Linked DNA regions of Schizosaccharomyces pombe. The gene in region 1 interacts genetically with each later gene. Each region holds a gene or a part of one and is shown on either strand. Other genes may lie near its edges.

Region 1 (5,848 bases):
ACATAAATTTAAGAAAATAGTGAAAGAAAGCAATTTTACGATTCACGAATATGGGTTTTCTCTGTCGTTCCAAGTAAATTTAACAATAACTGCTTTATGTAATATAAAATTTCTATAAACAGGTCATGGGAAATAGCATGTGGGAGATGTTTGGAATGGTTGATTCTCAATGTTTTCACATTTGCAACGTGAAAGGATTGCATCCATATAATTAGATATGCTCATAAATGTTTGTTTATGAAACCAATCAATTATCATTAATGGTTAGGCTTTCTAATACTGTATTGTACTTGAAGCTTTGAATGGCTAAAATACATAGCATCTGTGAAAAGCAATTTGAAAAGAAAGAAAACAACAGTACATAATAGTAAAGTTTCAAGATTTCCTCCAAAAAAGACGGGAATAAATCCCAGAATGAAGAATCAAGCTCATGACTGAGAATTATCTTAAGTATTCCACATTCCCACAAAACCAAAAAAATTGAGAACTGGTGATTAGTTTTCAAGCATCGATGTTTTCAATCGAAGCAATCGCTATAAGTTGAGATTTCATAAACCTGTACGATTGAATATAGCAAGAACTGGGGATCCTGAAAACTGGAAATCCTCTGTGTATACCTATTAGAATGAGTGTATCCTTAATGGAGCAAAAAACTTTAGAATGTCAAGAAAATTGATAAAATTCAGCCATGGAAAATCAATCTGTTTTAAAAGCCAAGAATACATCCCTTCATGTATCTAAATATTCAAAAAAGGAATTGCAAAATTGACATTTGCCCTTTTAAGTAGTAAAATCCTAAACGAAAACACCGATCACACTTTTGGATTGTTTCAATTTAAATTCAAAAGTCCTGATTTATCCAAATTTTCATTTGCTACATCTTTATTATATCAAAGTAACACTTGTCAATTCATTTCATGCCGATCTTTCGGTATATGGATGATCGTTCGGAAAATCAAAAAGATGTAGTTGCATGTAGAAATTCAGCGTAGAGAAGAGACAAATTATTAGTTTCATTCTCCAATTCACTGTCTTATTACAATTGTGCACTGGGTTATGCAACATCCTCCATTTTAAAACGATTTAAGCTGAAAAGGAAAAAGACTGTTCCAAATAGACAGTACTTTACAGGCTCAGTCTCGAAATGAAAATTTCAAAAAGGTAAAACATTGAAGAAAATCTTGAAGCTAAAGCTTAATAAGTCAAATCATAGCTCTTGTTGCGATTTACACAATCACCTTAGTATACATTGTCTAGTAATGAAGACTCTGGATTTAGAAAACCTCTTTAAAGTCACCTTGTGTCAACTTAAACCCCTAATAAATAGTAAAGAAATGGTGTTTTCACGACTTTGTGTCGTTCATGACTGATTTTCAGAATTGCTTTTACATAGATTTGCAAACCAAACAGTCAATCCATTTGCTCTTAGAAAGACCATGTTTTCCTCTTCGCAGCAATCATGTATCTAAAAATATGATAGATTCTTTTCAATGAAATCATAAAAGTTCATTCTAATAAAAGAGAAGGTAAAAACATGTCCATTATTTATACATTTCACCTTCTTCTAGCGACTCAAAATAGGAACGAGGTTCCTTGATACTCGGTAAATCACCTAATAAGAGACGGTTCACTTCGTTAGTTATTTTTATTGTGCGATCACCGACAACCTTAAATTTTCTGCTCTGAGAACCAGCACATTCCTTTATACAAATGGACGTACATTCTCCATGGTACGTGTCATCCCCGTATCACAATTTTTTTTAGGAAGGTAGTTATTTGCAAATTTTGAGCTAAGACCTTCTTCTATTAATTAAAAAATAAAAAGAAAATATAACAATTTTTATTTTTTATTTTTTAATCTTTTTAAAATTTCGATATTCTGGAAATTTGCTGTTTTAAGCCGATAAAGTTGGCGCTCGTGCATCAAAGTTCAGAGGTTTTTCTCGTGCTTCTGGGAAGCGTGAAGAAGCCACCTTAATCAATGTATTCAACGACTACCATTGTTACAATCGCTCGCTAGTTCGTTTTCAATCTTCGTTTTAGGAAATCCTTACTTGATTAATATATCCTTCTAACAGAAATATTTTATTTTGTCACTAGTCCCAGCTAGTTGCCTTTATATTTTTAATCTGCTTCAAATCATTTACAGTCATTAGAGTTCATTCTTTTTTTGCTACCTATTATTTTGACAGGAAAGGCTAATTCTTATATATGCCCCAACCAACATGTCTTTTCAACAACCTTCCAACGGAGCTCAAGGAGGAAACAACAATGCATTAGAGAAAACCTCCTCCAACGAAGCTACTTCTTCTTCGTCCACCCAGGTTTCGTCCCTCTCTGCAAGTGGCATTTCGGTAAGTACTCCTCGTGTTTCTCCATTTGAACCTGAGAGAAATATGCAGGTTCAATCATCTCAGCATCTTGAAGCAAATGTGCAAAGTCCCGTTTCGTCTCAGACAACTTATGCCACTCCTTCTGCATATGCCGTACCTCAGGAGTCTGAAATAGAACTTCATGAATCTGAAATGGTGCCTCAAAAGCCCAAGAAAAAGAAGCGTTCTCGAAGGAATCGCAAAGCATCCAGGAAGAAAATACCCGCCACTCAGAGTTCCTCTGCTGATATGGACACGTTGCATGTTTGCCCGACATGCGGTTCTTGTTCGGATTCAAAGAAACCACAGTCGAACAAGAAACATCGTGGTAGACGTGTCAAACACAGCCCAAAGTCTACCCTGGAGGTACCTGATGGTATTCCGGATATCAAAGCTTTATCTGCTTCCATGGGTTCCTCTTCTCAACATGCAAGCCGCTATAACGAAGGTCGCGGAAGTTTTGATACTCTCGGTACACATTACCATCTTAGCAAAAGTCGTAAATCTTCCTCAAGCGATTCTCTTTATTCGGTGTCCTCTATGAGTATAAAGAATGATTCAAATTCTGATTCGTTATCTTCGAGTTCTTCTTCCGATGTTTCTGGCAGTGACGAAAATTTACCTATAGACAAGACATTGTACCTCTCTGTCGAGGATCCTTCATTTATGGTTCATCCCCGTAGACCTAGTGCTACCAAGTCTTGCTCCGCCGCGGTAGACTGTCCGCACACCACTATTCCAAAACCCCCCTACCAGTCGGATACAGATCTCACCGAACTTCCAACGAAGTCCACTGCTCAGTTTTCCGATGAGACGTTTACTGTTCAACCAAGACTTAAGAGCACACATTCTTCTATTGCAGACAATGAGGACCGTGAAGTTGATTCTCAAGTCGATGAGAATACACGGGTCGTTGAGGAAGATGTGTGCTTTCCTATGCAAGAAGAATCGCATGTCAATAAGGGAATTGATTTCGATGAACTTGACAATTTCGCAGAAGAGGAACTTCAAAAACAAAGGCAGAATACTGATCACTTTCGCTCTAGGCAATATAGTACTTGTAAGCCTTTTGAGCCTCACTGGAATGACTTAAGTCCACACGATCCTAATGATCCCTCTAGCTCCTTGCACTCCAATAATGCAGAAAAAGCTGCAGAGGTTCCTCTTCGGTCTTCTTACTATTCCGGCGGGAGACGATCTGTTACTTCTATGTCGGATTCTCCCTATCGGTTTAGTTTCTTTTCATCTAATCAAAATGAAACTATCCATGCATCTGTATTATCGGATTTACTGGATGACGGGGCGACTAGTTTCCGCTCCTTATTTTGTCCAGAGAAGGGTGTTTGGTGGTTGGATTGTTTAGATCCTACTGATATAGAAATGCGTGTACTTTCGAAGGCATTCTCGATTCATCCTTTGACTACAGAAGATATTCGTGTTCAGGAAGCAAGAGAAAAAGTTGAGCTTTTCGGTTCCTACTATTTCGTTTGTTTTCGATCTTTTGAACAGGATCCCGAGCTAGCCAACTATTTGGAGCCTTTGAACATGTATATCGTTGTTTTTAGAGAGGGCTTGTTAACCTTCCACTTTAGTTCAGCTACCCATCCAGCTTCTGTGCGACGTCGTGCTCGACAACTTCGAGATTATGTGCATGTTTCCTCTGACTGGCTTTGTTACGCCCTCATTGATGACATTACGGATGCATTTGTTCCGTTGATCCGTGGTATTGAAACTGAAACCGAGGCTATTGAAGACTCGGTACTTGTTGGGCGTAGTGAAGATTCTTCTGATATGTTGAGACGAATTGGTGAATGTCGCAAAAAGACAATGGGAATGTTCCGACTTTTATATGGAAAGGCAGATGTTATTAAAATGCTCGCTAAGAGATGCAATGAAAAATGGACTATTGCCCCTACTGGTGAAATTGGTCTTTACCTTGGAGACATTCAAGACCATTTAGTCACCATGACTTCCAACCTTTCCCAGTTTGAGAAAATCTTGTCACGCACACACAGTAATTACCTTGCACAATTGACCTCAAATTCAATCGAAGAGAATTCTCGCACTAACGGTGCCTTAGGTAAAATTACCCTTATTGGTACTTTGCTTGTTCCCATGAACTTGGTCACCGGTTTATTCGGCATGAACGTTCCAGTCCCTGGAAGAGATACTAACAATTTGGCTTGGTTCTTTGGTATTCTGGGTGTGTTATTGGGTTCAATTGCAATTGGCTGGATTATTACTATGCGATACAATGCCTTTTAAAGCCAGTCAGCTTGCTCAATTACACATATTTAAGCATTGAAATGCCATGAGTATCATCAATTTATTTTCAAAGACATCTATTTCTGCCATAAGTAGGGTTTAATATTCTTTATGTATAACCTTTCTTTTAAATTCTTTCTTGAAGGAAAAATGGATCAATTATTATTATCATCTTACATTTATTATTATTATTTTTATTATTATTATTATTATTATATATATATATGCTATATATCTATCTGTCTATCTCTCTATAGTATTTTTGCTATACTCTTTTTAATTTTTTGCTCTATTTTAATATTCTGAGGAAAATACAATTTGGGAACGAAATAAAAAGCAAATAGATATCTTTATTAGATATTGTTCCGTTGCTGGATATTACACTAATCGCCGAGGAATCGTGGGTCATGAGGTAGATATATAAAAATTTGTATATAGGATAATGTTAAATAACATCTTTTAGGCGGAGAAATTGATTTTATCGATAGAAGTTAGTTGTAAAATGGTTAATCATAGCGTATAGCTTTGTATTTTCTGACGAACAGCCTAAGACGTTTGCAAATTAAAAGAATTGAGTTCTGACCTCATTACTCCCATTTTGTGTAACTAAATTTCGTTTGATGAAACTGTAGAACAATAAAAAATTGAGCCATATGAGTTTATTCTTTCCTCAAAAGTTGTCTAATGAAAATTACGACACTAGACTTTTACTTGCTAATCAACAGTTCAGGTTTGGAAAACACCAAGTAAGAAAGTGCTATCGTGTTCATGGCCGACTAAGGAATTACTGGCGTAAGTGGTTTTTTTAATAACATCTTTTTAGTAATGAAAAAGAAATATACAAACAGTAAATACGAAGAAACTGAATAAGTAATTAATGAACTCAAAATACTACAAAATCGAGCACTCATTTAATTGTTTAAAGCATTGCCGGTATTTAATTAGTTGTTTTTCGGTGAAAGCGCATTTAATTTAAGCATTTCATCTTAAAAACTGGTTGCTCATACTAAGTTGGAAGCATATGGGATTCGGTTTCGCAAACCCATTAACCACTCAAAAAATCCTTCAACAAAGAGATTATTGATTTCCTGTTGCCGTATATATCATTACATTTTGATATGTGGTTTCCTGTGTTTTCGGCTCTAAATAGTACCTCATTGAAATTTTGCTGAACAGATTAATCCGACTAAATGAAAAATTACAATTTTTAA
Region 2 (5,440 bases), on another chromosome or scaffold:
CCAAAGCAAAAATCTTTTGGAAAGGAAAAGCAAGTAGAAACATTGAAGACATAGCAAGGTCTGCCTTTGCCAGATCTAACAAATTAGACTGAAAGTATTTAAAAATAGTGCCAACAACTGGTCTTCCAGTCAATTCGAAATTTTCTAAAAAGCTCATGAAAATCATAATAGAGACAGCAACCCAAAATAACACAAAAAATCCAGTAAAGTCTACCGCATTACGTTGATAATTACGAGCAAAAATCGAGGGAGTAGGAGATAATTCCAGAGGTCGGTAAGCGGCCCTAGACCTTCGAAGGTCAATTTTTGAGGTTTCAGAAACACCTTTGAACGTCTGTTCCAAGTTGACATCCGATGGTTTGGATTTAGCGGGTGTTGCAGCAATCATCTTTAAATAACCAGCAATTAAAGCAACTAAGTGAATATATAACAAAAAAGATAAATATATAAAGAAAAAGATAAAACAAAAAAATAACGTAAAATCAGCAGCTACGTATCGCGAACAGTATCAAAGAAATTGAAAAAGAAGCGGATATGAACGTAGGAAGATTAAATTTATTTTTTGCTTCGCTTCTAAATAAAAAATTGAGGAATGAAAGCAAGAAACTTAGAAATGTAATCTATTGATGGAAGTTCCAACTTGGAATTTCAAGATGACAGAACTGGTATGACGAAAACTCCACAGTCGTGATTCCAAAAATAAAAATTCTATGCCAAATGTTCCACTATAGAATGGAAGTAAATAAAAAGCTCGAACTCCTAAGCAATTCACGTTCTATGCGATTTATGTAAGGAAAAGCCAAGTCTCCAGTTTCAAAATGAGCAAAGGAGTTGATAAGTTAGAATTGCGAGCTAAGACGATGAACCACCTGATCTCAGCAATATCTGCAATACTACACCACGTTATGTAAAATTTCGTTACGTATCACTATATATCACATGTCCTATTCATTTATCCGCTATATGTGATACGACATTGGCACTTGCTTATTGTAGCTTATTACCAAATGACTGACAGGTACAAACAAAAAAGAATGCTCAATCGAACCTTTTTCCCTTAGTTTACATATTATGAGCATTTCAATAATAATTTACAATAACACCTTAATACCCGATTTTCGCGTTACCTGCATATCGCAATATAGTAGTGCACAAATACAACTCACTGTGATTTAACGTGCCATTAAAACTGGTTACAAACTGCATAGTTAAGAAGCAAAGCCACATAGCGTGGTCAAGAACGAATAGAGAAACATAAATTCCAGATATTGCCCATCAATTAACAACTCCATATAGCAAATTCGATAGGATAATTCAAAAATTACACAGATAACCAAAGGAAGCTAGGTATTCTTTTAATTTGTGCAGTATTGGTGAATGCATCAGTTTTGAGCGTCGTTTAAAGCTGCATCCTATTTTGTTAAGTGAAATTGATTTGATTTTCATTGTTTTATATATTCTGTGTTTAGATTGCGTTTTTCTGTTTGCTTTCAATACATCTCATAGAAATGCAAGTTAATATTTACTGGAATCAATTATAGTAGGAACGTAAAATATCTCAGTGAATATTGGTACGGATGGAAAGATAACTTTAGTATTGCACATGGATTTTATTAAGAACCTCTAATAAGGGAATGTGTATTAAACGTAATATGATTACTGAAAAGCACAAAAACCATACCTAAAAAATATTCAACTCTTAGCCATAGTACACCTTCTTAAATGTACTTGCAATAAGTGGTAACATAATATTAAGTTAATCAATATAAATGGTATTTACATCTGCTTAATAAAAACTAGGAATTATAAAAAAAGACACTTCAGCTGACTTAACGTAACACAGCAGCAACAAAACAAATTAAAATTTATTTTATTTAAAGCATATTTTTTAGTATTCATTATTGATAGATTGACGAAAGAGTCGCAACGTTAAATTCGTTTTAAAGAAATTTACCGTGCAATACCCTACCGCATGTACAAGCAACAGCCAAGTAATGCAAACAACACATCCAAAGAACCTGCATCTTACTTGTTCGGGAGTGGAAAGAGGTTTCACCAATTCCCCAAAGACGCATCCAAAGATGTCAAGTTTAAAATCTTTTATAAAGGCTGTTCGGGCATCCAAAACGACTGCTGAGGAGCACACAACGATTCTCAAAGAGTCGGCTCAAATCAGAAAAAACATTCGTCAAGGTTCTAATGACATGCGTATGCGCAGAAAAAATGTTGCCAAGCTGCTATATTTATTTCTACTCGGTGAGCCGACACACTTTGGTCAGATTGAATGTTTAAAATTGTTGTCGAGTTCGCGATTCATGGATAAACGTTTGGGATACCTAGCAGCTATGCTTCTGTTAGACGAGAACCAGGAAGTTTTGACGTTATTGACAAATTCTCTTCAAAATGACTTGAAATCTAGAGACAAATTTATTGTGGGGTTGGCATTATCTGCGTTTGGTAATGTCGCTGGCCCTGAGCTTGCAAGGGATTTGTCAAACGACATAGCCGAACTTTGCTCTAACCATCATAATTATATATCAAAGAAGGCTGTTCTCTGTGCACTTAGAGTAATTCAAAAAGAACCGGATTTGGAAAGTTTATATATTGAGAAAACCGATGAATTGTTACATTCAAAAAGTCATGGTGTTTTAATGGCTGCTCTTGCTTTTGCCATCAGTGCTTGCAAAATAAATCCGTCGCTAATATCCCGATTTGAAAGTCAAGCTGACGATTTGATTTATCGTATTCGTCAATTGTCCACTAGTACTTACTCCTCTGAGCATAACATTGGCAATATATCTGATCCGTTTTTGCAAGTTAAAATCCTTCAGTTTTTGTCAATACTTGGTCAAAATAACCCTAAAATTTACGACAAAATGAGTGATCTTTTAGCTCAAGTCTGTACTAACACTGATTCCTCTAGAAATGCAGGTAATGCTATTCTTTATCAAGCTGTGCGTACCATCCTTGATCTTAATTCTGACAGTAGCCTTCGAGTTTTGGGGGTCAATATTTTAGCAAAGTTTTTAGGTAATCGTGACAATAACACTCGTTATGTTGCTCTTAATATGCTGAAACTCGTTGTAAATAGTGAAGAAAATGCAGTTCAGCGTCACCGATCAACTATCCTTGCTTGTCTTAATGATGTCGACAGTTCTATTCAATCTCGTGCGCTTGAACTTTCTACATTTCTCGTTAATGAGGCGAACGTTCGTTTCATGGTGCGTGAGCTTTTATCATTTCTTGATAACGTTTCTGATGAATTACGTGGATCCACTGCTCAATATATTACAGAAGTCACAAATGCTTTTGCTCCCAATAAGCGATGGCATTTCGATACCCTTCTACGAGTCTTCAAATCTGCTGGCAACTTTGTCAGTGAATCGACTCTTTCAACGTTTTTACGACTCATAGCTAGTGCTCCTGAACTTCATGAATATGCTGTGGTAAAGTTGTACGCTGCTTTAAAGGAAGATGTATCTCAGGAAGCTTTAACTCTTTCTGCTTTTTGGGTAATTGGAGAATATGGTCAGATGCTTCTTTCACCAACAATGAATTTTGATGATGATCAAACCCTTCCTCATTCTGTTTCAGAATCTGATATTGTGGACATTATTGAGGAAGTATTTAATAGCGTTGAAGCATCTAGGTACATAATTGTTCAATATGGTCTTTTCGCTCTCACGAAGTTAAGTGCTCGTCTAGGTTCTTCTTCTACTGCTTCTCGTATTGACAAGATAATTTATTCCTATAAGAGAAACAAGAACACCGAGGTGCAACAAAGATCTGTCGAGTTCCACCTTATATTAAATGACTCCAAATTGAGCAAGACAATTCTAGAACCAACTCCCGCTCCTCTGCCTCCTCCTAGGACCACGCCTTATCAAAATGCGGAGCAAAAGCTAAAGGCTAACAAACACGTAGAAAAACGTGTTCAGGAAAGCAACGAATTGCTAGACCTCATTGGGTTAACTACCCCTTCTGTTGCTGAGCCCTTAGAAACACCAGTGGATGAAATGACTCAAAGCCCTCAATCCAGCTTAAGCCGCGCTCCTTCTACTTCCAAAAAGAGTCATTTTGAAGATATCCTTGGTTTATTTGCTTCTCCGGCGCCTTCAGCTCAACCGGTTGACAGCTTGGCAAGCAGCTTTGCTTCTTTGGACTTTAATGCTTCAGCCAGCCAACCATCAAACAACTTGTCTTTGCTTTCTTCCATACCATCAACTTCCAAATCATACCCTCCTATTGTTGTATTTGATAAACACGATGTGACGTTAACTTTGGTGCCATCCAAAGAAGAAAGTACCAAAACAGCCGTCATTGAAGCTAAATTTAAAAATAAAAATCCAATGACTAGGGTTGAGAAAATACATCTAGAAGTGGCAGTTCCCAAATCACAGAAACTGAAAATTCAGCCCTTGAGGACTACAAGTATGGAGCCTGGTGGAGAAACTTCTCAAACCCTGCGGGTTCATGGGCCATCGGGTTCTCAAGTCAAACTGCGTCTACGTATCTCTGTGGTCCGACAAGGTGGATCAAATACTCTCGATCAGGTAGATTTTGGAAAGTTGCCATCTGACCTTTTACAATAGTATCCGAAGTATGGACAATGCCATTTAAAATATAACGCTCGAGCTATCAAAGAAGATTTCTGACATGATCCATGCTACACTTTTTGATGGGTCTAGTCAGTTTTACGAGAAAATGTTCGTAGAATAGTGAATAATGAGGTAATAGAAAATGAAAGCTCTAATTGTTTTTATGAAAGAAAATAGGTTTTTTTTTATATAATTTTAGCAATTTTCTCGATATGGAATCATGGTATACTTATTGGATAAGTTCACTTATGTAATTTTCAAATTGAGACTTGCTCATTCTTTATTGTATATCATTGAACGGAAATTTGACCTTCCAAACCCTTCATTAAGAAGTGGTCGGATTTAGAATTAAAGCTGTAATATTATTTTAATAGAAGTGCATACCTCCAATACAATCGCAACTAGAAAAGTATAAAATGTAAAATCCTAAACTTATTTCCTTTAACAATTGATCAATGCAATAATTAAGCCTATGAATTATATATTAACTAACAGAGAGTAAATCCAACATTAGAAAGCATTAGTCTTGCTTTAAGCTTTTTCAGTACTATGCGCACGTTCAGAAATTAACTGTTGTATATAAAATGCTATTGCATTTTGATTTTGTGTTTCCAGAGACCGCATTCGCTCTTTTAAATCTCTTTCTAAATCCCATGTAGGCTTTTTAGGTCGCAAAGTTACCAAATCTAGTTCTTCAACAGGAACAGAACTTTGTTCTTCAATTTTTCTCTTAGTCTTTTCTTCAATCTCCTTCGATAATGCTTCAACTGATTCAATCATGTTTGGCGGTTCCACGAATCCCATTTTAGGTGCCTGCACTTCTGGATCATAATTTCGATGCT

What was found.
Region 2: of SPOM_SPBC27B12.12C (region 1) and apl4, a mutation in one rescues a mutant of the other (synthetic rescue), as found in Schizosaccharomyces pombe (one large-scale study listed by BioGRID).

The regions. Positions count from the first base shown.
Region 1 is NC_003423.3:1,350,120-1,355,967, reverse strand, and holds SPOM_SPBC27B12.12C (CorA family magnesium ion transporter), read left to right. Parts: upstream 1-1,739; 5' UTR 1,740-2,225; coding exon 2,226-4,637; 3' UTR 4,638-5,109; downstream 5,110-5,848.
Region 2 is NC_003421.2:2,399,986-2,405,425, forward strand, and holds apl4 (AP-1 adaptor complex gamma subunit Apl4), read left to right. Parts: upstream 1-2,011; 5' UTR 2,012-2,081; coding exon 2,082-4,592; 3' UTR 4,593-4,818; downstream 4,819-5,440. Other genes in the region: acyl-coA-sterol acyltransferase Are2, read right to left, coding at 1-388; protein Cwf18, read right to left, coding at 5,130-5,440. UniProt on the Schizosaccharomyces pombe protein: Adaptins are components of the adaptor complexes which link clathrin to receptors in coated vesicles. Clathrin-associated protein complexes are believed to interact with the cytoplasmic tails of membrane proteins, leading to their selection and concentration.